Linked DNA regions of Cricetulus griseus. The protein of the gene in region 6 interacts with the protein of the main gene of each other region in a pairwise test. Links are inferred from orthologs where the notes say so. Each region holds a gene or a part of one and is shown on either strand. Other genes may lie near its edges. The genes, in order: Gpatch4, Fam133a, Taf1d, Kat5, Zbtb16, Cep70 and Cwf19l2.

Region 1 (3,500 bases), on a different chromosome or scaffold from region 6:
GAGGTTCAGCTCTTTACTGCTCCCCTATTTCCCCTGGGTCCTGATCGATTGCCTTGTGTGATGAACTAGTTCCCAGGATATCCTAGCATACCCAGATCCCATGTCCAACCTCGCTGTGCTTAGACTAAGGCCCATGCCCCCCTCCAGAATTGAGGTATTAAGGTTCCATGGACCCTGCCATCCGCTGCGGGGCAGCACTGAACAGTAGAGGGAGAGCCATCATTTAGTTAAGAGCTGCTGGGGTGGAAGTGTTGGTGTCTAATTTAAAAAGATTTAGAAGACAGAAGAACCCTGAAGGTTGGTTACTTAATCCATCTTTATTTTACATGTGTGCCCCAAAGTGTAGAAAATGGATTACTGAAGAACCCACAGCTGGCTAGTAAAGACAGAAAGAATAGAACCCAGGCTTCCCAGCTTTTTCACTATAGCTATAGAAAGCCAGAAGTTAGCGAGCATAGACTCTGCTCGGCGCTTCCCAAGTTATCTAGCAACCCTTCCCAGTTTCTGCATCTGTTGGCATTTACTATTTTAGTTCAGGCAGTCTTTGCCTCTAAGATACTCTGCCTCTGGTCTCATTCTGCACCATAGTCAGCTGACTCTGTTCTACAAAACATCCATAGGGTTCTTTCCAAAACACAAATTGTATCATGATCCTTTTTGTTTGTTATTGTTTTTCAAGACAGATTCTCCCTGGTTGCCCTGGAACTCACTCTGTAGACCAAGCTGGCCTCAAACTCAGAGATCCGCCTGCCTCTGCCTCTGGAGTGCTGGGTTTAAAAGTGTGCAATACCACTGTCTGGCTCCTCCCTATTTAATGAGATTGACTTGCATGGCCCTTTATGCTTCTTGTCTTACTCCCACCTGTTCTCTCTGGGGCAGAAGCAGCTCTGTTTCTTCTTCTAGAAGCTGTGTTCTCCCACCTACCCTTTCTCTGCCTTTGCCATTTACCTGCTAACATTTCTTGACTTTCAGATTGAGATTATACATAGCACCTTCTAGAAACCACTGCCCAAACCCTGGCCTGAGTTATCTATGGGACAGGCAACGTTCATCCTAACTGCCCATGTAATTACATCTGGACTGGAAACTTGACCCATCGAATTCTGTGTGTGTGTGTGTGTGTACGTGTACGTGTACACGTGTGCACGCGCATGTATACGTGTTCACATATATGAGCACTTTTGTGTGCAGGTGCTCATACATGTGTATGCATATAGAGGCCAGAGGTTGACATTAGGTATCTTTTTTTGATCTCTACCTTATATACTGAACTAAGATCTCTTACTTGAATCCGCTTGCCAATCTGTATAGTTTAGCACCTAGCTAGCTTGCTCCAGGGACCCCAGGGATTACAGGTGGGTAGCCATGCCTGCCTGACATTTATGTGGGTGCTGGGGATCTGCACTAGGTCCTCATGCTTGCACATTAAGTGTTGTTACCAGGTGAGCTGTCTCCGCACCTGGACCCATTTCATTGCCATTCTACTCTATCCTGAGCTACATGGCCCATAATAGGTTCTGTTAATCTAGTTAAACAAAAATACCAGCAATAGGAGTGCTGTCTCTATTGTCAGTTACTGGCACCTACTCCACTGTGAAAACCTAAAAGTGAAGAACACTTTTCCCTGGTTGTTCTTCAGTCAGCCTGCTGTGAGCCAGAGAAGCCCTGGCTGCTGCACTTCCCAGTAACTGTCCAAATTGAAATATACAGGCTGCATGACTCTGAAGGGAACAGTGGTGAGGGCTGTCAGATTCACCGCTTCGGCCGTGAGTTCCTAGGGGCTTCTGAAAGGGTTGGTAATGGTGTTGGGCTGGCTTTATCCATCTCCATGATCCTTTTCCTCCAGACAGCCACACTGACCTCAGGTGAAGAGAAGCCTGACAGAGAGAGCGGCAGTGATGATGACAGCCATGAGCCCACGCCTCCAAAGATGTGAGACTTTATTTTGTGCTGAGGATGTGGGAGGAGATGCTTTGGGATCTTAAGAGAATGGATGAATAAACCTAATGCTCTTCAGGGATGGGGGCGGGGGTTGTAGAATTAATTAGATTGTGCTAATCTTTGTGTTCTTTTTTTTTTTTTTACTTATTTTTTTATTTGAATTAGAAACAAGATTGATTTACATGACAATCCCAGTTGCCTTCTCTAATCTTTGTATTCTTAGTCCTTCAAAAAGTGCCAGGTTTTGGACAAGAAATAGTGGAGATGTACATTTTTTAAGACAGAAAAAAAAAAAAAAAATCAAGTCTTCTCACCATCTGTTTGACTTGTCATCTACCCTTACAGTCTGACTGATGAAATGCTACTCAAAGCTTGTGAGGGGCGAACAGCACACAAGTAAGTTGTGGTTGCCTTCTGGGTCTCCCATCTTTCTGCCTATGCTTTAGAATAGCTTGCGTCGGGAGGGAGAGGGAGAAGGGACTTGAAATAAGCTTGTTCCCTAACTAGAACTAATAAAAAAAAAAAAAAAAAAAGCAAAAAAAAAAAAGAATAGCTTGCGTCACCTCTCAAATATTTTTCTTCCAGGCAAATAATTCCTGTTGTTGACACATTTGTGTTTGAAGTCAGGCAGCTTCCCTCCCTCTGTTCCCAACTTTCTATGTAATGTCCTTGCTGACTTGAACCCATCTCTTAGGGCTGCCCGGATTGGAATCACAATGAAGGCCAAGCTTGCTCGCCTGGAAGCCCAAGAGCAGGCCTTCCTGGCTCGGCTCAAAGGTTCAAAGGATGTAGGCACCTCTCAACCACACACTGACAAGGAGCCCTCCCACAAAAAGAAAAAGAAGAGGAAGCAGAAAGAGGAGGAAGAGACTGCAACAACCGAAAAGAATGTTAGTGAGGAGCTCCTAGAACACACTGACCCTCAGAGCTTCAAGAAAAGGGAGAAGAAGAAAAGGAGGCGGAAAGACCAGAGAGAGGAAATGGCTGTAGGAAGTGGGGAGGAAGAGGCTGAAGGAGCAAGTGGGCCTGGAGAACAGAGCACAGAGCAATCTGACCAGTCTTCTAGGAAAAGGAAGAAAAAGAGGAGGCGGCACCATGAAGAAGAGGGGAAGATGGAAGTCTGTGATGAAAGAGGCAGAGATATGACAGGCAGGCCAAAGGCAGTGGACAGTGGAGCAGACCCAGATCCATGGAGAAGCAGTAAGAAGTCTCAGCAGAGTGGGGATGACTTGGACACCCAAGATGAAGGGAAGAATGGCCTAACAAAAGCAGAGAGAAAGGTCAGAAGAGGCAAGAAGAAAAGACAGCAGTGTCTTGAAGAGGTAGTCTTGGATGTGAGCAATAAAGACGATGATGACAGGACTTGGGAAGTAGAGAATGAAGGTGAGAGAAGTCAGCCACATCCCAAGGAGAGAGCTGGCATCAACACTGACCAGAGAGCCAAAAAGAAGAAGCGGAAGAGGGACTGACGGTCTACAGTGTAGGTCTGCTGATGACTTTTCAGAGTGGTCTGGGTTTGGGCAAGGTTTCTTCACACCCCTCTGCAGAAGTTCAGGAGC
Region 2 (3,500 bases), on a different chromosome or scaffold from region 6:
AAGAAAGAAGATGACAGAAAACCTGATAGTATCTGGATATAAGAGAATGGAATATAGAACACAGTAAATCAAACACAGGAGGGCACCACCTTGTCACTGACATGTCATAAAGCTCATATTGTGATAGGTAGCTATTATAGGTGGAATTAACAGGTCAGAAGTGAAGATAGTGACTAACAGAAAAATCTATCATGTGTCTGATCATCTTTATCTTCTGCTTAAAATGTTGCACTTATTTCTTATCAAGTGTAAGACAAAGATTTTTAAAGTCAGATTTTTAAAAGGGTCCCCAAGCTTCTAACTGCCTATGAAGCTGCACCTCCCCCATACTAACATCTCTTTAGGCTATGCCATCAGTAACTGCATGACATGCTTTGTAATTGCAGTGTTTTCTAACATACTGTTTCCCATTCTTTTGTTTTGTTTTGTTTTGTTTTGTTTTGCTTTGTCGTTTTGAGACAGTTTCTCTGTGTAGCCTTGGAGCCTTTCCTTGATCTGTAGGCCAGGCTAGCCTCTAACTCACAGAGATCCACCTGCCTCTGTCTCCTAAGTGCTGGTATTAAAGGCATGTGCCACCACCGCCTGGCTTACTGTTTCCCCTCCTTGAAATGTCCTTCATTACTTCATTTCCAAGGTGAATTTGTTTATTCTCCAGATTTCTGTATAAAAATGACTAGCTCAGATTGATTATGATCCCAGCACTTGAGAGGCAGCAGCAGGCAGATTTCTGTGAATTTCAAACTAACCTGTTTAACATAGGGATTTCCAGGTCTCCAAGGACAACATAATACTGTAACAAAATAGATAAATAAATAAGACTACATTTGGGGATTTCCTTCTGAATGTTTCTTTTACATAGCCAATCCATGTATCAATTATTGTATTTATAAATGACCAAATATTTTGAGTATTTAGTATGAGCCAAATTATGTTATATATTAGGAACACCATGAAAAATAGTATAATTCAAACATGGCCTTTACCCCTCTTGGCCTTATGTTTAGAAGTCGACAAACATGCAGAAGCAAAATGACTATCAGTTTAATATGTCCTATAAATTAAGAAATAAGTTCTAACACGTTGAAAAAGAGGATGAAGGTTAGACAGGAGCAAGTTACTTCATTATAAGTTTGAGTTATATAAAATTGTTGGTGTTAAACATTGTGTCTTATCACATTAGGGACATTAAATAATGTATTCTACAGATTTTATTTCTGAGGAACTGATACTTGAACTTAAACCAGAAGAATTTTAATTATAATGCTCAAGTTTAGAAATTGTCATGTTTCATGAACCAAGAAAATTGTGAACAAGAGTTAGTAACCAAATTAAAATAAGAGTTAAATTCAAGGTATTTCAAATAATACATTTATAGTATTTTCCTTGCGTTTTGATAAATTGTTAAGCTTTTAAATTTTTTTCATGATCTCTCAGATTACTGTGGGCCTGTAATAGAAGACAGGAAGTAGAAATAGGGGAAATAATTTAAAGGTAGTCATGAAGGTTAAATAAAATGTGTTATGTGCATAGGGTTTGAAAATAAAGCAGCTTTGATTTAAGTTCTGTTTGTATTTTAATTTTATCTCTGTTTCTTCATACAAGTTATAGTCAGATTTTCTAAGTGTTAGTTTATCTGTGAAATGGGTATAATAATATGCTCAATTTCATAGGCTTAGGCTCAGGATTTAATGAGATAATCCATTGCAGTGATTAACAAAGTCTTTGGTTATAAATATTTAATAAATGATAGAGAGTGAAATCAAATGGGAAGTAATAGTGGCATGGACAAAGCCAATAACAATGTATTTGTGAAAAAGGAATAGAATGATAATTATTATAAAGGTTTAAACAGCCCAGTCTAGTAATGGTTTAGATATGAGAGATGAGAAAGAACGATTTTCCAAATATTACATCTGGGGTTCTGTCAAAAGAAATGGGGGTAGATTTTTCTGTACTTACCTAGGTTAAAGAATATCTATTTGCCTGGTAGATTTTAACTGTAAATTTTCCTGTCTTTACCATGTAAGGCAGGAATGAAAGAAAGGAAAATGATATGTAAGATTCTTAGTAAAATAAAATGGTTATTAAATACTACTGGTCTCTGGCAGACTCTTACATGAGATCAATAAAATACATTTAACTTTATAGCAATTCATAGTATATTGTGTGTACTAAGCAAAAAAGTAAATTGATGTATAGATTTTTCCTAAAATGCAACAGTTTTGAAATTTTCTATTAAGTATAACATTTTAATACTTAAGAGAATCTCATACAGTGTAATTTGATCATATTTACCCCTGCTTATCCCTTAGTTTCTTCCAGATCCAATCTTACATCTCCCACACCCAAATTTGAGTATTCTTTTTTTAAAATAATCTTCTGAATTTTTGTTTGTGCTACTCATGTACTCTCATGGGTATGGAGTCATTCACTAGACCATGGCCATCCTACCAGGAGCCACTCCCTTAAAGACCAGCTGTCTCTCCCTACAATCTGTCAACTGTTAATAGCTCCTCTGTTAGAGGTAGAGATTGGAGTCCTCCCATCTCTGTGCAAGAATGGTGACTTCTTAATGTTGTCCAGGAAACAACAGCTACTATGACTTCATGAGGGCAGCAGTCTTATCATGTTCAGAAAACACTGGTTTGCTCTGTTCCTGCTCTAACTTTCATTTATCCAATCTTCCCCCTCCTCTTCAGTGATGGTTATTAATGAAATTAAACTTATATATTATTGTGTTTTAAAGGTGTTCAATTATTTTTTGATCTGCTTCTTTCACAGAATGAAGACTCCTTGTTAAACTAGCAGTAACCTTGGTACTGGTAGTCTTCTCTGACAACCACCTGGCACCATGGGGAAACGTGATAACCGAGTAGCATATATGAATCCTATAGCAATGGCTAGATGGAGGGGTGCAAGTCAATCCGCAGGCCCAACTATACAAGATTATCTGAATCGACCAAGGCCCACCTGGGAAGAAGTAAAGAAACAATTAGAAAATAAAAAGAAAGGATCTAAGGCATTGGCTGAATTTGAAGAAAAAATGAATGAAAATTGGAAGAAAGAGCTTGAGAAAAGCAGAGAGAAAATATTAGGTGGAAATGTCAATTCATCCAAAAGAAAAGAGAGAAAGAAAAAGAAAAAGAAGAAATCTTGTCGGTACACATCCTCTTCATCAAGCTCTGATTCATCCAGCAGTTCTTCAGATTCTGAGGATGAGCGCAAGAAACAAGGAAAAAGGAGAAAGAAAAAGAAGAACCGTTCCCACAAGTCGTCAGATAGCTCCAGCTGTGAATCAGAATTGCCAAGCAAGGAGCTTCCTCCAAAGAAGAAAAAGGCAAAGGATGAAACAGATAAAGAAAAATATACCAAAAGCTACAGCAAGAAAAGAAAGAAAGCTTCTGAGGAAAAGCCATCCTCTTCAGAATCCTCATTTGAATCAGATTATGAAGAAGAGGTGCAGGCAAAAAAGAAAAGAAAATATGATGATCAAGAAAGAG
Region 3 (3,994 bases), about 79 Mb from region 6:
GAGGCCACCCTGGTCTCCAAAGGAGTGCCAGGATAGGCTCCAAAGCTACACAGAAAACCCTGTATCGAAACACCCCCCCAAAAAAGTAAATGACATAAAAAATAAAAAGAACGAAATAACATCTGCTTACTTTGAAATGACTGGTTTGATGGGCTACTTAATTTAAAGTTGGGTAAGATATGCTTGAGAGTAGTTTAGAGACTAAGATGAGGGTATTTTGTACATTTACAGACTTGGACCATTATTCTCTAAGTTTGTATACACACTAAAAACAGTGCACTCAGAAACACTGGAACCTGAGCAGACTTTACACAGAACACATTGTTTATTGTCAAAGTAACAAAATGTGTCCCAGGTGGACCTCAAATTAAAAATGGCCAACAACACCCAAACCCAGAGAAACTATGTCTGGAAAAACCAGGAAGAAAAGATGGGGGCAACAATCATTCCAATTTCCTAGTGTATTCACTTACATGAGAATGACTCACCTCATATGTTAAAATTTTCTTCCAAGGTAAGGGTTTTCTTCCATTTTCAGATTCTAAGAATGGAAACACAGCTCCTTTGTTTTTAATTTGCTTCACACCTATCTGTGACCTTCTAGGGTTTCTAGCATTTTTTATTCCAGGTGGTCTTCCTCTTGGTCTTAATTTTGGCTTGTATTTCCTTTTTTTCCGTTTCTTTTTCTTAAATCTTTCAAAAATAGCCTTTAAAGTCAAAAGCCTTGGTTCTATAGAGGAGTCACTTGATGTGTCAGTGTCAACATTTGCAGGTAAAGTGACACGTTTTGTCGTAGGGTTTCTTTGCTTTCGTGTAGGTGAAAGAACGTACTGTGTTTTAAATAAGCTATCAGATGAGTCATCGCTAAAAAAATAAAATAAAATAAACTGCATCACTGAGTCGTTACTAGAAACAATCCAATTCACGAGTGGCAAGGCTGTACCCTCAGGCAGCATGGTCATTAGTAACTCAAGTTTCATGGAGTTCAACACCCTCTTCTGAACACATGATACTGACTGTAGGCAAAGCACTCACTCATAAGTCACATAAGAGAAGACATTAAAAATTTAAGTGTACATTTCTTCCAAAGCCAGCTCCCCCAAAATCATACCCAACATTTTCAAATGGGTGTGGTGATAAGCCTTTAATTCCAGCTCTTGGGAGAAATAGGCAGGATCATCTTTGAATGAGGCCACCTACTGAGACCTGTCAATCTGAACAGTTAGACTCAACTCTAGGGTGTTTAGTCACAAAAGCTGCCTTACCTTTGATGTCCAATGTCTGCAGCTCTATCAGGTGTCATGCAGTCAACAGAAGTCACTTCTGATTGAGCCATTACTCGATCTCTGCAATTACAATTTCAGTGTGATGCACCTAGCATTCTAATGAAAAGTTCAACATACACCATACCACCATGTGACTTTAGGTAAAATCGACCTAAGGATAGTCCACTTTAGATCTTTAAAAACATCCAAGTGAGCCAGCTGTTGGTGGTGCACGCCTTTAATCCCAGCCATTTGGGAGGCAGAGGCAGGCAGACCTGTGAGTTCCAGGTTAGTTTCAGGACAGGCTCTAATTCAATATAGAAAAACCTTGTCTTAAAAAAAAAAATATCCACGTGAGGAGCACAGCAGTTAAAGTGTAACCTTCCACAGTTCAGTTCCCAGCACTCACATTGGGTAGCTCACAACTTCAACATGGCATGTTTCTGGCTTCCTGGATACCCACACATTCAATTCTAATCTACAAGTGAAAGCAAAGGAGAGACCACTTTCCAAATCAGTGTTTTCTAATTCTACTTAACAAAAGTACCTGAGTGGCTTTACTACCAGCCAGCCACACAGTGAAACAGCATTAATTCGGATGTTTACCCTAGGAAGGCTGAATTTTTAGCCACTCAGTGTGTATGCCTCAATTTCCCGAATGGCCAATGGGCCTGTAATCCCAACAATAGAACCTCTAGGGTGAGTCAGCTGAAGAGATGGCTTAGCTTTAAGAATACTGACTGCTCTTGAGTGGACAGATTAAATTCCCAGCACCCACAAGGCAGCTTTAAAGGGGCCGCAACTGGCCAGGTGGTGGTGCGCGCCTTTAACCCCAGGAGGTAGAGGCAGGCGGGGCCTCGAACTCAAGATCCGCCTTCCTCCTGAGTGCTGTAATTAAAGAAATGCACCACCACCTCCCGGGTTATTAACTTTTTTCCTTTAAAAGGGGACTTATTTTACGGATAGTGCATTGGTTTCACCCATACCAGAAATAGGAACCAGAGCCCATTACAAATGGTTGTGAACTACCACGTGGCTGCTAGGAATTGAACCCACGTCCCCTGATAGAGCAGCTGGTGCTCTTAGCTGTAGAGCCATTTCTCCATTCCCCATTGTTTTTTAGTATTAGCCCATCAAAATTGCAACGTAACATACTTGGCCCGTTTGCACCAACGATAGAGCGGAGAAAATTCTAAGGGTAATGGCCAAGTACACACGAGGAACCTATCTAGAAATCAGTCCTACCTGTGCGGTCTTCTCGACCTAGGAAGGCAGCACCAGCACAATGCCCCGACGGGACACTCTAAAACCTTCCGGCAGCGACCGATAGCGACCGGGAGCCACGCGTGGCCCGCTGCGCCTCACCCGACAACAGCGCCGACTGCGCGCGGACAGCCGCCCAAAGAGCCCGGGCCCGCGCGCGGTCTCCGAGTCCCGCACCGACCGATCGCGCCAGACCCGAGCGCCCAACGCAAACACACCCGTCTCCCTCCTCCACCGCGACCAAAAGAACGTTCCAGCTCGCAGCAGCCGACTAGGGCAGGCCGAGATCTCGCGTGAGCTCTTAGCGGCGGGTGGGTACGAGAGCGCGGCTACGTGCTAGGCGTGGCTATGTGCGTGGACTGTGGAGTGGGCGGGGCCTCCGCGAGAGGCGGTACCGGGCTCGCCCCTAGGCTTTGAGCTGGCGGAAGGGAGCAGGACGTTGAACTTGGGTAGGTGAAGGGAAGAAGGCATTCCTGCAGGCGTGAAGACACTGCGGGTCAGGTGAGCGTCCGCATGTTGTGGGGCCGAGCCCACTGTGTGCGGAGTTCCCCCTCAGAGGAAGGGTGCCAGGTGCTTTGGGCACCCCACCCTTCAGGAGTTAGCTTCCAGCAGGCATGGGCTTCCTCCTTCAGATCCTGAGTTGACTCAACAGTGTAGGGCTAAACAGTTTTTAGCCCTACAGTACTTTCTTTTCAGTAGTGAGCTGCTTTGAGTTATTTTCCATGCTGCACCTTTGTATTGTATGACAAGCAAGCCAGCAGATCTGCTTGCCCTTAGTCAACAGTTGTTATCATTTATGATTGGACACGCCTTAAAAGTAAGGTCTTGCTGTACTTGCAAGCAGCCAGTGCATTCGCTGTAAGCTCTAAGACAGGCATCTCAGACTGTCACATTCAGGACCAGTGCAAACTTAAATTGCAGGGTCCTGTTCAAAACGAAAGTGACAAATAGCTGAGAACTGTGGCAAATCGCAGAACTGGAGAGTCTGAAGGAGGATTGCCAGGCCAGCCTAGACTATGTTTTCCCCATAAGTAAGGAAAATTTAGAATTATTAATACAAGTTTTACCATCTTTATGTTGTGTACTGCCAGGCGGTGGTGACTCATGCCCTTAATCCCAGCACTGGGTGTAAGGATCAGGCATTATGCTGGCCTGCCTCTTCCTAATAAAACTTCATTTAAGCTGTCTGCCTGGAATGTTTGTCCCTTGGCCTCGGTCAACCTCGCCCGCCATGAAACCTGCCAAGGTTCACCTCACTCTTTATCCTAACACTCTGGAGGCAGAGGCAGGCGAATCTCTGTGAGTTGGAGGCCAGCACAAGCTACACAGAGAAACCCTGTCTCAAAAAACCAAAAATAAAAAAATAAAAAAACCTTAATGAGCTTCTAGGCCTTTAATCCCAGCACTTGGGAGGCAGAGGCAGGCAGATATCAATGAGTCAAGGCCAATCTGGTCTACAGAGTGAG
Region 4 (2,763 bases), on a different chromosome or scaffold from region 6:
GCCCAGCCTCGCTGCAGCGGTGAGTACATACTTGAGCCCTTTCCCTCCTAGACTCCGTCCGACCTCCCACCGGGTTTGAATCGTCCCTAGTTACTTGGGGTTTTTAGGGCAGTAAGCACCGTGGATGGGGACCATGACGCTGGAAGACCAGATTAAAGAGTGGTGGGAGGCACTCTTCACTTTATCATCTGGCCTTAGAAGGGGCTAGCACCCTAAGCAGCTGGGTCCCCACACAACTGAATCCTATTAGAAAGTTACATAGTGGAAGTGACTCCTGTTGCAGATTCACGCACAGGTGCCTGAGGACTGAGAGCCACATCATGAAAATGAAAGTCACAGATCCCTTCACACCAGTAAGCCAGCAATAAGTTCACTTTGAAGCCACTGTTTCTATCCCAATAAATGAGCTCTTCACAACACCTGTGAGTCTGTGGGCACCTTAGCACCCTTGAAGCCGGCATGGCACGGACACCCAGTCTGGCAAGAACTTTTGATATCTCTGCCTATATAAACAATTTATTGCTGGGGGCAAGAGGGGCCAGAATTTTGCAACCAGCACCCACCCCACCCTCCAGCTCCTCCTTTACAAAAGAAATGTTTATAATCACCAGTCCTCTGTACAGAGTGCTCCCACCCGTCTCCATGTATATAGCTGCCTGGATCCCTCTGGTCCCTGTGTTCAGAGCAGACCTGGGCCGATGATAAGCCATCTATCCTTGGAGTTGGCTTAGCCCTGAGCTTGCCTTGGTACTGGCCAGTAGTTGGCCCCTCCTAGGCCTCTCCTTTTGGAGCTGTCCTCAGCCCTGTCTCCCTTGGTGTGCCTCTTGGAAGGGTAGGATAGCCTGTCAGCCCCAGTTGTGCCAGCTCTCTTTGTGTTGCAATGGGCAGTGCCTGGTCACCACTTTCCTCTCTTGCTCCAGTCTTTGGGAGTGAAGTGCAGACACTTGGAGTCAATTCGAAGGAGCCGTTTGAGCATAGCCCGCTCATGCCCATCCACGATGTCCTCTGACAGAGTGAGGATATATTGGCCCTAGGGAAGAAACAGACCCAGCATGTGGTCAGCCCACAGGTCTGTCATCTGTACCCCATTCACCTACCCCTCAGTGTGCCTCCTAACCTTGTAGTAATTGATGAGATTGAGATACTGCAGTGTGGAGATGACATCTTCTTTCTTGATACTAGTGATTTCACTGATCTCACTGTGGGAGGGCAAAAGTTAGGTTCTCTGAGAGTAGTCATCTGTCCCCAGGAGCCCCAGGAACAGACAGGCCATACCATACACCCCCAGGTGGGCATTCTGGCTCACTTGATGGTAATCTGTGGCCTCTCCCCGCTCTCTGACTTCAGTCCCATCAGGATCTCCAAGATGGTCTGGGACCAGTAACTTCGATAGGATAGGAGGCCAAGATCTGACAGGGGCTTCTCAGGTGTCCCTGTCTTCCCTTCTACTTTAGAGAGTTCATAGCCTAAAGCAGTGGAGCACAAGAGTCTGAGTAAGCATCACAGGTATACACAACAATAAGTAAGAGCAGAAACTGCAAAGTTACGCTTCCTGGTTTTCTGTCTCTCTTGGTAATGGATGAGTAGCTTCCCTGCCTGCTAAGTGGCTAGGGGAGCTGAAGACACCTAAAAAAGCAGCTTTGACTGGGAACTTGCCAGCTAGTCAAAGTTAATGAGATGGAAATGCTAGATTTTCCTTTGCCATCCTAGCCTGTGTCTGAGGACATTGGGAGGATGGTGAGGGAACCCTTTGTCATTCCCTAGCTGTGATCCTGGGAATCAGCTGTTCTTAGTGCCAGGATGGGCAGGGTGGTTGAGGATGTAACAGAAAAGTATAGAAGTGTTTCTTCAGAGCCAGAGAATTCACCTCGAAGTAATAGCCCTTTCTCTCTTATTTATGTTGACTACTAGGCACGGCCAGGCAGTTCATGAGACCTTTAAGTCCTGTAGATAGGGCCCCAGAGATGTCCCTATTAGTTTGGAGAAACCCTTCCTTACCCTCAGCTACACAGTCTTCAAAATGGTCCCTGGCTACATCTCTGTTGGCTAGTCTCACCCTCTTTGCTCAATCACCTTTGGACAAAATGGGCCAGAGAGGCAGCCAGAAAGAAAAGAGATCCAACTCTCCTGGATCGACTTGTGTACAGTCCCTCTAAGACAGTTCTGAGTTTCTGATCTGTTGATGGCCTCCCTGCCCTTTTATCTGTCTAATGCTTTTCTTGTGTCATGCTGGACAGAAGTGTTATCTTAGTGATCTGTCCTCTGAGTTTTCTTTCACCTGCTCTCCCAGGCTGAGTTTCCAGAGAATATGATTCCCAACTTGGAACCACTCAACTAATAAAATATTCCAAACAGTTCATGACTTTGAACAAGTAAAGCATCTGTGTTTCACCAGCAAAAAAAGTTAACGCTTCTTCCCCGATTCCTAGGTCAGTGAATACTTAAGTGAATGGAATGGGGATGGATGGGCTAACACTACAAAACAGAATGTATTGCAGAGTTAAGAGCCCATGTGAGCCAGGTGTTGGTGGCACTCTACAAAGCCACACAGAGAAACCCGGTCTTGAAAAATTTAAAAAAAAAAAAAGAGTCCATGTGAGAAGGAAGGAGCCAAAGTTCTCCTGGGCATTAAAAGACTAGCCTGACAAAGGAACGGGTACAAGTTCATCTTTCAGTGGGTTAAACAGCCTTTGGACATTAATGCCTGGAAGGCTCAGGTAACACCTGGTGATAATCCAGAACCTGTTACAGTGCACACCCAGA
Region 5 (4,203 bases), about 47 Mb from region 6:
GTTTTGTGCTGAAGAGTCAGTCCTTAAGACTCCTATTGAGGGTGGAGGAGAGCTCCATGAAGAGTGGCTGAGAAGCCTACCTCTCTCCACCCTCTCCCCAGGCCATTGGCTGTGTGAGATGTTGACCACAGTTAGGCAGAGGCTGTGAGATTTTTCTGTCCATGTCCCAGTAGCTGTTCAGAATTGGGAGCCACTGAGTGATCCAGAACACGCTCTGGGAGAGGCCTTTGTGTTCCAGCCCCATCTTCCCCACCTTCTGGATGTAACTCAACCAGAGATGCTGGTGCCAAAGTCACTTCTAGAGCCATGTCCCATGTCAGTTTTTCTCCTTGTCACTGGACTTGCCAACACCTGGGAGGCATCCAGTCTGGCATGAGCCCTCAAGGCTGTTGGGAACATACCCACCCTCCCATGGTGTCTCTCTGCTTTCTTGTTTTAGAGCATTCTGTCCATTGGGCACTTGTGGGCAGGAGGGAAGAGAGGAGGCTGTAACATCTTGTATAATTGTATACTGGCATGTTAATACTAGTTATGCTAGTACACACACACACACACACACACACACACACACACACACACACACACCTTGGGCATACACAGTAACTTTGAGGAACTTGTAGGTAGAAATGACAGGCTAGAATGTGAATTGTATGTATGTGCCCTTGTCACAGCCTAAGAATGGGTCTGCCAATCCTTTTCAGCCCTGACTACAGAGTGGGAGGACAGAGGCCATAGAAGGCACAGGATGATGGAGAGAGGGCATGGCTAGGAGAGGACAGCCCCATTGCTCGTAGATGTCAGGCTACCACCACATCTAGCAGCCACGGCAAGATTGTCTTGTCTCTTAAGGCCATCTCAGTGAAGCAGAACTAGAAAAACATTGAAGATGAGGGTTTACTTATAGCAGGTTGACAGTAAAGCTGGATGCTTAAGTTGACTTTAGAAGGGGTTAAAACTCGTTCATTTTAAGTATGTTTGTGAGCCTCATGCTGGACATTGGTCTTACATGGGCAGTCTCTATTCTCGGGCTTAAAGAATGCCTAGGACTCACTTGTATCTTCATCTCATTTCATCCAGCAGATGCTACCTACAGAGCAGTTGATTAAACATATGGGCAAGCATAACCTCCTTTTTACTCTCAGAACCCTGGGCTTGTTGTTGAGGCTGATTCATAGATTTCTTGGAAGCCCAAGCCCCTTCCATTAAAACCCTCAAGAGCCTCTTGCCAGAGTGGGGGCATACTGTGATGTTTGAATTCTTATTTTTAGGGGATGTTGTCACTTGGTCGGTTCTTTTAACTCTTCTCTTCTTCCTTTCTCTAGTCCCCTCCACTAGCCTGGGAAGCCTAGCCTGCTGCACCACGTAGAGCAAAGAAGGAAAGAGAGCCCCATGCCTGAGCCAAGGGGAGCATTATGGATCTGACAAAGATGGGTATGATCCAGCTGCAGAACCCTAGCCACCCTACGGGGCTGCTGTGCAAGGCCAATCAGATGCGACTGGCCGGGACTTTGTGCGATGTGGTCATCATGGTGGACAGCCAGGAGTTCCATGCCCACCGGACGGTGCTGGCCTGCACCAGCAAGATGTTTGAGATTCTCTTCCACCGAAACAGCCAGCACTATACTCTGGACTTCCTCTCCCCAAAGACCTTCCAGCAGATTCTGGAGTATGCCTACACGGCCACACTGCAAGCCAAGGCAGAGGACCTGGATGACCTGCTGTATGCAGCTGAGATCCTGGAAATTGAGTACCTGGAGGAGCAGTGCCTGAAGATCCTGGAAACCATCCAGGCATCTGATGACAACGACACAGAGGCCACCATGGCCGATGGTGGGGGCGAAGAAGAAGAGGACCGCAAGGCTCGATACCTCAAGAACATCTTCATCTCGAAGCATTCCAGCGAGGAGAGCGGGTATGCCAGCGTGGCTGGACAGAGCCTCCCTGGGCCCATGGTGGACCAGAGCCCTTCGGTCTCCACCTCTTTTGGTCTTTCAGCCATGAGTCCTACCAAGGCAGCAGTGGACAGTTTGATGACCATAGGGCAGTCTCTCCTGCAAGGAACTCTTCAGCCACCTGCAGGGCCTGAAGAGCCCACATTGGTCGGGGGTGGGCGGCACTCCGGGGTGGCTGAGGTGAAGACAGAGATGATGCAGGTAGATGAAGTCCCTGGCCAGGACAGCCCTGGGGCAGCTGAGTCCAGCATCTCAGGAGGGATGGGGGACAAGCTTGAAGAAAGGAGCAAAGAGGGGCCTGGTACTCCCACTAGAAGCAGCGTCATCACCAGTGCCAGAGAGCTTCATTATGGGCGAGAAGAGAGTGGTGAGCAGCTGTCACCTCCTGTTGAAGCTGGTCAGGGACCCCCTGGGCGACAGGAGCTCCTGGTACCCCCAGTGGAGAAGCATTTGGGCATATACTCAGTATTGCCCAACCACAAGGCCGATGCTGTGTTAAGCATGCCATCTTCAGTGACCTCTGGTCTCCATGTGCAACCTGCCCTGGCTGTCTCCATGGACTTCAGCACCTATGGGGGCCTGCTGCCTCAGGGCTTCATCCAGAGGGAGCTGTTCAGCAAGCTGGGTGAGCTGGCTGTAGGCATGAAGGCCGAGAGCCGTCCTCTGGGGGAGCAGTGCAGCGTGTGTGGGGTCGAGCTTCCGGACAACGAAGCCGTAGAGCAGCACAGGTAATCCCCTGCCCCAACCTTGCGACCATGCCCATCTTCCGGCTCTGATGGCAGTCCTTTGTGCCTGTCCCATCCTGAATCTGGGGACCTGACTCGTCTGTGCTCCTTGAAAAGCAAACAAAACAAAAACAAAAACAAACCATTCTTTCCCATATTAAGGTATAGGAGGTCACACAGTTATTTTCAGAGTTCAGTAAGAAGAAATGGTTCCTATCTAAAGCATGAGGGAACTCATGGGCCCAGCATCTCAGCCCTCCTGTCTGTTTTGCTTTTTGGGCTTCCATCTGGTTTTCTTGTGGTTTGATCTATGCTTTTGTTTTGCCCAGAGTGACTAACTGTTTAATAAAAGTGGCAAGAAAAAGGGCAGGAAGTGGGGGTTCAGGCTGAGGGTCTCCTGTGGCCAGGGATCAAGCTATGTTATCACGCTTGCTTTTCCTATCCCCACTGGTCAAAGATTGTTTAATGGCAGGCCATTGTCTTCAGCCCAGGACAGTAGTATGGGTTGTATGTTGTTTAAGTCCTAAGCATACCCTAAGTCCCAAACATCTGTCCTGGCAGACACAATGTGAGGTAGAGAAGGTTCTAGTTAATTTCAAGGAGAAGGAGAATATAAGAGTTTTGGTCTTACAGCCTGTATAATCTGTTCTTATCCCCCTCTCTGAATCACAAGGGCTAGTCTTCACTGCCTTTGGGCTTCTGCTTTAATCTCTGCAAAATAACCCCCCTTTGAGTTTTTGTGACATGCTTGGTTCAGGACCAGTGCTTTACCTGGAATTGAACATTTGTTACAATATTCTTAAGAGGTAGGTAGTGTTTTTGTTGTTGTTGTTTTGGTTTTCCCCAGACAGGGCTTCTCTGTGTAACAGTCTTGGCTGTCCTGTAACTCTTATCTGTAGACAGGGCTAGCCCTCTGCTTCCCAAGTGGTAGGATTAAAGGCATGAGCCACCATTGCCCCGCTGGCTGGTAGAGGATTTGGTTTTTTTGTTTGTTTGTTTTTACTAATACACAGGAGTCTTAGCGAGACAGAAAGATTCAAACTAAGACTTAACCTGTCATACATTGTGGTTCCTTGTAGCCATCCAGTGAAGAAGAGGACCCCTCCTGAAGAACAGGTGGGGGAACATTGACCAGTGCTCATCAGAGAGGGAGTCAGTAGTGGGTTTGTCTTTTCTGTTTGCCATAAACTATAAGCCCACCATTTACATCCCTCATCCCTGGCCCCCAAATCTGGTTTTCTGTTGTCATGGATGCTAACCTTTTGCACAACTTCTGGCTGGCTGTTTTGCTGATCTTGGGTGGATTTTCCACTTTTGCAAGCACTCTCCTCTTCTTCCATTCCTGTTGCTCATTTAGGGGACCTGAGGTGTGTGTGTATGGGGGAAACAGATATAATCATCTCTAGCCGCAGCTTGCTCCGAAGCTGCCTGATTGGCTGCTCTGAGCTGAACTCTATGGAAAGTGGCACTCAGCTAAAAGTAGCCATTTTTTTCCAGTGATACATAAAATAACAACTACGGATATG
Region 6 (3,952 bases):
CTGCGTTCATCCTCCAAATCTACATAAAACTAGTGTGGTACACACCTATAATCCAAGGACTTGGGATGGGGAGGCAGGAGAAGCGGAACTTCAAAGACATTCTTAAATACCGAAGTTAAAGGAATTACATGTAGGGCCACACTCTCTTAGACAAAACCACCCCTATGTTCTTAGGTATATCCTATTTTTTCCTGAGTGCCTTTTTCCTTCTTAATCCTCATGCTTACACTCTATATTTACTGGGCATAGTGCCACACTTTTAATCCAAACCCTTAGGAGGCAGAAAAGAGGATCTCTGTGAGTTTAAGGCCTTCCTGGTCCACATAGTTAGTTCCAGGACAACTAGGGTTATATATGAGAATTGTTCAAGAGCACAGGTTAAAGAGTCATAGCTTAAGAGCTGTACCTGTAGCTGCTCAGGGTTGGCATTCTAAGGCTTTGAAAGTGTCGAGCCCTAAGCCTCTAGCCTCAAGACTTAGAGTCCAGGGCTCAAACTCAAGGCTATCAACACCAAGGAACTGCTTCTCCCTATCCAAGATTTCTATATAAGCTCCCAGCCAGCCACTTGAGACAGGTTTTTCAAATCATAACAGCAAAAAATGTTTAATGCAATACTAACCAAAAGAAAACTAGCATATAACCAAACTGCCTGGGGATTCTGCCACACAACCAGGGGATACTAATTCCTCTGTGCTTTGATTTCTTCATAGAAGAGCAGGAGGAGGAAAAGTACTTAGCTCACAAAAGTCCTGCAAAGATTGGAAGAATAAATACTCGAAGAGCATGGAGTATGCTAGCCTCACAGCATGACAGAGTCTCTATCTATTGAACTCATTGGACTTCCACTTTCTTATTGAGCTTTACTTACTGAGAATTATCAGGTAGTCAAAAGGAAAAAAAAAACATGTAAACGTATCTATCATCTAACACAATATCCAGTAAATTTTGTTTGCTATCTCCCTAAATTGGAAAAAAATAGAATCATCCATTATATCATACATACCTCAGTCATAGTGATTCCTGTTGCAGTTTACACCTGGTCATCCAATCTGATCTCAATAAAATGATCACCCAATGAGTCTCATGTCCAAAACTGGATCTTGATCTAGGTTTCAAAAAGATACAAGCCAAAGCCTTAAAATGTTCAGCCTGTTCACTAAAAATGATCTTGAGTTATAACAAGGCAGGAATCTATGGTGCAGATAACCATGGAATCAAAGCCTAAAAAAAACTGCAGCAATGCCGCCCGTTGGTGATGCATGCCTTTAATCCCAGCACTCAGGAGGCAGAGGCAGGCGGGTCTCTGTGAGTTCGAGGCCAGCCTGGTCTCCAGAGCGAGTGCCAGGATAGGCTCCAAAGCTACACAGAGAAACTCTGTCTCGAAGACAAAAATAAACGAAAAAAAAAAAAAAAAACTGCAGCAACAAGAATGGTCCAAAGCTCTCCATCAAAGAGCCTCCCCTTTTCTTTTTCTCTTATCCTTCCTCCCATTGCTTTGTTGAAACGTGCTGGATATCCAAATATACCATTCTGATTTGTGGCTTCAAGGGTGGTTATTTTTATTTGCACGTGTATTGAGAACACTCAAGTAAAACCAGGCAGAACGATACTCGCCTGCACCTGTGATCAACCTTCCCTCCAGTATTGAGTTACTGTTCTGCAAGTAAAAGGGGAGTTAGGCCTACAGATCATCATCATTCCATCCCAGATGACAAGAAAGGCCAGAATTGACCTGTCCTGGGCTGAAGAAAAAACTGCCAATAAAACGCCTTCCTACCCTGCCTCATCAACCAACACAGAAAGCAGCAAAAACTCTCATCAAATTCCTTTCCCAAGGGAAGCTGGGGGAGCAGGTGTATTGGAAAATTAAGACAAAAAGTCCACGCAACACAGAAGGCTGAAACCAACGTCTGCAGCGCTAAAAGGTACGGTTACAAACAGCTCAGTTGGTATAGGCAAGAAAGCTTGAGACACATCCCCTGAATCCACGGAAACGGGGAATTCTGTAATTCCAGCACTCCCGTGGGCAGATAGAAGGAGGATACTGCAGCTCTCCTCGCTAGTCCGAGTAGGATGCAGAAAAACAAAAGGCCTTCTCCCAAACAAGGTGGAAGGAAGGCAAGGACCTACACTTGAGGTTGTCCTCTGTTCTCTCTGGTTCATAGTAATGGGAACCTTGATTGGGCTTTATGGTATTTTTCACATTATAATCAACGTGGACTCTACATAAAGGCGGAGTTTCCCCGAATTTGCAATGTGTCTGACAGGAGAGAGAAAGAATCAATCCTCTACCCTTCCTCCCGAGATCTCGCACTGCGCTCCAAACCTCTGTCACCTGAGAGCTGGAGGAAAATCAGCCCCCAGGACCTACAACAAACCCCAAACCCAGCCGGTGCCACGTACGACTCTAAGCTCCAGTTTCCTGCCTCCTCTACCAGGTCGCTCCCCTTATTCACTCGAATAGGAGCCGGAGCTCGGGGGCTGAGTGGGAAGCGAGCTGCACAAAGTGTCAGGCGTAGGGTGGTCCACGCTCGCCCCCGCACGCGCGGTTCCCAGCTCGCACCTTAGCAGCCGGGGCGACTCCGCCCTGGAGGCCCTGGTCGGTCAGTGTAGACCTTCGGGAACCCCCAAAGAGGACACCTTCGGGCGTGCTCTTGAGAAGGGACCCCCGCGACGCCCTCGGGGACCCCAAGAGCCACTCACCTCAACCGCAGCAGCCTGCAGCTTGCAGCGCGCCCGCCCCTCCGCCTGAGCCCCGCCCCCTCGACCGTTGGCGCGGCCAGGCTGACCAATCGAGCCGAAGCAGTCGATGGCCTCCCCGCGGGGCGGGAGACCCATCCGGGAGCGCCAGGGAGGCGGGGTCCGCGCCGCGCTCTATTATTGGCCCCGCCCACGGAGGCGGGGCTTCCCACCCACACAGACTTGCGGGCGCAGGTCCTTCGTAGGCACTCTGACACCCCCGGGACGCCGGGTCGGGTAGACGCTCTGTCACCAACGTGGAGTCTCTTTGATCCGCGAGAAGCTAGAAATACACAGTGCGGTCGCAAGTGAAAGTGAGGCTCGGGCTGCCTCGCCATCACTGGATGGTTGCCCTCACTACAGCTCCTCCCAAGCCAGATCTGCGAGCTTTACCGGGAACTGTCTGCACGCTCTCCAGACCTGGCTAAGAAACTATATATAATGTGTATATAAATATACATATTTATATATATATTATATATTTATATATATTATATATGGACCACCATCAGCGTTTCTTGATGACATTTCATCTTCTCCTCAAACATTGTTAAATGTCTATTTACATGCCCGACTGAAAATGTGAGGTGGACTCCTGTTAGACACTGATAAGCGTGTTTAGTAAAGCGTTTGCAGCTACGGAGAGCAAAGGACGATTACGTGAGAGGGCACAGCCGTTTGAACGGCTGAAAAGCTTTGAAAACTTGATCTGCGGGCCTCCAGGTTAATTAAATCAGAATCTCTAGAGTGGGGGCCCACGTGTCCAGAGTCTGTAAGATTCCTCCAAGTGATTCTAATGTATAGCTAAGAGGGAGAAGTGCTCACTGAGATGTAATTAAGACCGGTTCTGAACCTGGCGGGGAACAGGAACTGGGGATATAATTCAGTTGGTAGAATGCCTAGCATGCACGAAGCCTTTGGGTTTGAGCCTCAACACCGCCTGAGACAGGCGTGGTGGCACATGCTTGTCATCCAAGTATTTAGGAGGGAGAGGCAGGAGATCAGGAGTACATACATAGCAAAAGTCAAGGCCACTGGAGCTACATGAGGCCTTGTCTCAAAGAAAAAGTAAAACTAGGGTCCCTCTCCACTAATAGAGGGTTAAGAAATCCAAAATATTTAAGAGAAAATCCACCTTCCATAAACCTGAATGAAGACCTCAAGTTTCTGGGATCTACCGTAGTTGTGCTTGCACCTTGTAGCCACGTGGTGT
Region 7 (3,500 bases), about 90 Mb from region 6:
GCTCAGTTGATGGCTCAACTGTAATTAATGGCAATCATGTAACAGACAATAACTGCTTAACTACATTTACCTAGATTACCACATCTAGTATGTCTTTTAAAAGATATATTTTATGTGCCCGTGTCTGGGTGTGCATATGTGAACATGTGTACAAGTGCCTGCCCAAACCAGAAGTACTGGCTCTCCTTAAATTGGGATTAGAGACAGCAACGATTTACCCACTGTGGGTTCTGGGAATTAAAGGGTCCTATGGAAGAGCAGTATATGCTCTTAACTACTGACCCATCTTTCCAGTCTAAATCTAATACACTTCTCAAAAAAAATCCGTATTTATTTTTATTTTATGTGTACAAGTAATTTGTCTGTATGTCTATGTGCTACATGTGTGCAGTGCCCACAGAGGCCTAAAAAGGCCAATAAATCTCTAGAACTGGAGTTACAGCTGCCATGTGGGTACTAAAAACCCAATTTGAGTACTCTAACAGAGCAGCCAATATTCTTACCGGCTGAAACATCTCTCAACCCCTAGTATACATTTAAACAGCTTCCCTATAAGAAATTAACTTTTTAAAAAATTGTTTCACATTCCTCAGTTATCATACACCACTAAAAAATGTACTTTACAAATAAAAATGATATTACAAATAAGGCAAATTAAAAAATGAAAGCACTGAAATTGTTCTCTTACCTGCTCTAGTGCTTGGGCTTTTTCCTGCTCTGTCTTCCTTAAAGTCTCCTTTTCAGCTTTGATTGATGATGAGGACACAGTTTTAACAGACATAAAATCAACAGTCATCCATTCATCCCGCTGTTTAAAAGAATGAAGCCATTTCAATCTGTACTTAAGACCTACTTAATAGCAGACTGCAGGCACTAGCCAAGAGCAAACACTATGTGGCTAGGTACTCAACGAGTTTCTCATTTTTGCTGCACCTTATTCTCTGCCTTATAAAAGTGGAGTGAAGAACTCACCTTTCAAGTTTGTTTGGAGTAAACAAAATAAGTATAAAAGGTAGCCAACATAGGGTCTGGTGCACACAATGAAATGTTAGCTACTGTTCACCTTTTTTCCTGTTTCTGTGGCTAAGTGGGCAAACTCTATTCTTTCTTATGCATATGAATTTATCTGCTACTCAACTGTAAGCATTGATGAACAAATTGTGACATAAGGGAACAGAAAGAAAAGTTGCAACTGAACTAGATGCATACAAGAGGTTCAGACTTCTGTATTAGGTAAACCCAACTAAAAAGGAAATGCCAACAACCATAGTAAAGAGAGTTCTGAAGGGTGACAGCACAGATGAGCATCCAGATGATGGGATTCCAGATGATGAGCTTCCAGAGCAGGAGAAGGCCAGTCTGAATACCAGCATTCAGCAATTCATAAACTACTGCTAAAGTATAATCCTCCTGAAGAAGTTATAGTCATAAGTTTAATACCAATCCATTCTTAGAAGCCAATTTGCTCTGAATCAGCTGGGTGCTCACCTGCATAACATGCCTGTCACATTCTTCTTCTGGCTTTTCGTCTTTCACTTTCCAGGTCTTTTCTTTGCCAAGTGTCTGGAAGGGAACAGCCTCAACCCACTCTTCAGAGCTCTAGAACATTTAGCATATACATGACATTCACAATTTGCATACTTATATATAAAATACTGAATTAAGTGGACATAATTCAGCTAATTAGAAGAGATTCTTTCATTCTTTTTCCCCTTCAAGAATAATACTGGAAAATCTCAAGAAATACCATGAAAACCCTACTTTAGCTTGAGCCCAAAAGAGACAGCCAAATTCATTCTTCCTCTCATGAGTTATATCAAAAAATAAAATGAAAAGCTAGGAAGGAAAGTGATATAGAAATTAATACTTTGCATTGGTATGGATTTTGGTTTACTGATACAAATTTAAGGTCAATTTTGTTACCTGTATATTTCTACTCCGGGTTAAGTATTGTGTTTATACAGCTCTTTTAAAAATGTAATGTATAATTAAATACAGATTATAGATAGTCACCTATATAGTCATGTTAGTTTTCTACATATACAGAGATATATATGCAATGGATAGATATTCTTCAAACCTTTCAAAGAACTATAGGTTATGACATTTAAAATGGTTTATTAGGGTTTTTCATGACAAGGAGACACAACACCAATTACATCAGAGAGGAGGATGGAGTGTGCCTTCAATATGGCAGGAATACCCATTTGGACAAGAAACTGCTCTTGTCTGGACTGCTTGAAAACATACTGTCCAAACTGGACAAGCAGGTTGTAAAGAAAAGTGACTGCTGAACTTGCCACAGGACAGGATGGTCCTTCAAGATTCCCGCTTCACAGAAAAGTCTACCAGACACTGGGCCTATAGGGTGAAGAGGGACGCCCCAACGTTACAGAGGAACTTTGGGTGACTGTCCAGGCAGCAAGATGTCTCCATCAGTTCTAGAGTTTATATATTATCCTTCTGAGGTCTTAGATGGAGTTGAAAGTTATGATTATTGTTTTCATTAGTTATGATAAAAGTTACATATTAAAGTTTAGACTCACAAAGATAGGATAGATGGTAGAATATTTTTTTTAATTTTGCCAAATGTTAATGGACTAAATATTGTTAACAATAGTTCTTATTTGATAACTGTTTTGTTATATATGATTTTACTATGTTAAAGTTAAAACCTTCCTTTTTATTTAGACAGAAAGGAGATGAGGGGGATGTCCTGTATGCTATGAATATAGGTTTCTCTGATTGGTTGATGAATCAATGCTGATTGGCCAGTAGCCAGGCAGGAAGTACAGGCAGGGCTACCAGACTAGGAGAATGCTGGGAAGTGGAAGGTAGAGAAGGCTTCAGAGAGAAGCCATGTAGCTACAGGAAGATAGGACACCGGGCATTCTCTGGTAAGCCAAGACCACAATGGAGATACACAGATTAATAGAAATGGGTTAATAATTAAGAGAGCCCTAACCAATAAGAAGCCCGAGCCAATGGCCAAACAGTTTATAGTTAATATAAGTCTCAGTGTGTTTGTGTCCAACCAGCTGCAGGACTAGGCAGATTAGAAACTGTCTACAGGAAAGCACCATGGCAAGGCTCAATTTCTACCAACATCCAAATGAACACATATATTTATCTCAGTAGCACCAGAGAAATAACATGCATGTAAAGGATTTTGCTATTTGCTCTAAGTGTCAAATTTGGGGGGGGGGGGAGCTCCTAGATCTAAAATTGCAAAGATCTCTAATAACATCTAGGCTGGTTACCTTGATCTATCACTTATCACCTTATTCTCTTGTAAGAGTCTCTGACTGAACGTGGGTGGCCTCAGAAGCCAGCAAGCCCCAGAAAACCTCCTCTCTCTGCTTCTGCACAGTGCTTGGTTATTGGCGTGTAAAGCCACACCAGCTTTTTACTTGGGTGCTAGTGACTGAGACTCACACCCTCATGCCTACACAGCAAACACTTTTACCAACTCAGCCAAGGCCCTCTAAGAAAATTACATT

Evidence for each region.
Region 1: the proteins of Cep70 (region 6) and Gpatch4 interact in binary tests that used the Homo sapiens proteins (3 or more experiments, as listed by UniProt). The two-hybrid records come from large-scale screens. The link is inferred for Cricetulus griseus from reciprocal best matches to the Homo sapiens genes CEP70 and GPATCH4.
Region 2: the proteins of Cep70 (region 6) and Fam133a interact in binary tests that used the Homo sapiens proteins (3 or more experiments, as listed by UniProt). The two-hybrid records come from large-scale screens. The link is inferred for Cricetulus griseus from reciprocal best matches to the Homo sapiens genes CEP70 and FAM133A.
Region 3: the proteins of Cep70 (region 6) and Taf1d interact in binary tests that used the Homo sapiens proteins (3 or more experiments, as listed by UniProt). The link is inferred for Cricetulus griseus from reciprocal best matches to the Homo sapiens genes CEP70 and TAF1D.
Region 4: the proteins of Cep70 (region 6) and Kat5 interact in binary tests that used the Homo sapiens proteins (3 or more experiments, as listed by UniProt). The link is inferred for Cricetulus griseus from reciprocal best matches to the Homo sapiens genes CEP70 and KAT5.
Region 5: the proteins of Cep70 (region 6) and Zbtb16 interact in binary tests that used the Homo sapiens proteins (3 or more experiments, as listed by UniProt). The two-hybrid records come from large-scale screens. The link is inferred for Cricetulus griseus from reciprocal best matches to the Homo sapiens genes CEP70 and ZBTB16.
Region 7: the proteins of Cep70 (region 6) and Cwf19l2 interact in binary tests that used the Homo sapiens proteins (3 or more experiments, as listed by UniProt). The link is inferred for Cricetulus griseus from reciprocal best matches to the Homo sapiens genes CEP70 and CWF19L2.

What each region holds. Positions count from the first base shown.
Region 1 is NW_023276806.1:66,417,203-66,420,702, reverse strand, and holds part of Gpatch4 (G patch domain-containing protein 4), read left to right. Parts: intron 1-1,549; exon of another isoform or gene 1,550-1,846; coding exon 1,847-1,932; intron 1,933-2,226; exon of another isoform or gene 2,227-2,286; coding exon 2,287-2,337; exon of another isoform or gene 2,338-2,635; coding exon 2,636-3,410; 3' UTR 3,411-3,500.
Region 2 is NC_048604.1:52,732,083-52,735,582, reverse strand, and holds part of Fam133a (protein FAM133A), read left to right. Parts: intron 1-2,781; 5' UTR 2,782-2,851; coding exon 2,852-3,500.
Region 3 is NC_048597.1:128,814,837-128,818,830, reverse strand, and holds the start of Taf1d (TATA box-binding protein-associated factor RNA polymerase I subunit D), read right to left. Parts: upstream 2,801-3,994; 5' UTR 2,511-2,800; intron 1,347-2,510; 5' UTR 1,337-1,346; coding exon 1,266-1,336; intron 865-1,265; coding exon 489-864; intron 1-488. UniProt on the Homo sapiens protein: Component of the transcription factor SL1/TIF-IB complex, which is involved in the assembly of the PIC (preinitiation complex) during RNA polymerase I-dependent transcription.
Region 4 is NC_048596.1:53,753,703-53,756,465, reverse strand, and holds the end of Kat5 (histone acetyltransferase KAT5), read right to left. Parts: intron 1,467-2,763; coding exon 1,307-1,466; intron 1,200-1,306; coding exon 1,118-1,199; intron 1,031-1,117; coding exon 896-1,030; 3' UTR 501-895; downstream 1-500. Other genes in the region: Rnaseh2c (ribonuclease H2 subunit C), read left to right, coding at 1-19. UniProt on the Homo sapiens protein: Catalytic subunit of the NuA4 histone acetyltransferase complex, a multiprotein complex involved in transcriptional activation of select genes principally by acetylation of nucleosomal histones H2A and H4.
Region 5 is NC_048597.1:160,607,938-160,612,140, reverse strand, and holds the start of Zbtb16 (zinc finger and BTB domain-containing protein 16), read left to right. Parts: upstream 1-1,403; 5' UTR 1,404-1,412; coding exon 1,413-2,680; intron 2,681-4,203. UniProt on the Homo sapiens protein: Acts as a transcriptional repressor. Transcriptional repression may be mediated through recruitment of histone deacetylases to target promoters. May play a role in myeloid maturation and in the development and/or maintenance of other differentiated tissues.
Region 6 is NC_048597.1:207,684,353-207,688,304, reverse strand, and holds the start of Cep70 (centrosomal protein of 70 kDa), read right to left. Parts: upstream 2,801-3,952; 5' UTR 2,704-2,800; intron 1,106-2,703; 5' UTR 1,013-1,105; coding exon 1,004-1,012; intron 1-1,003.
Region 7 is NC_048597.1:118,084,324-118,087,823, reverse strand, and holds part of Cwf19l2 (CWF19-like protein 2), read right to left. Parts: intron 1,600-3,500; coding exon 1,489-1,599; intron 809-1,488; coding exon 689-808; intron 1-688.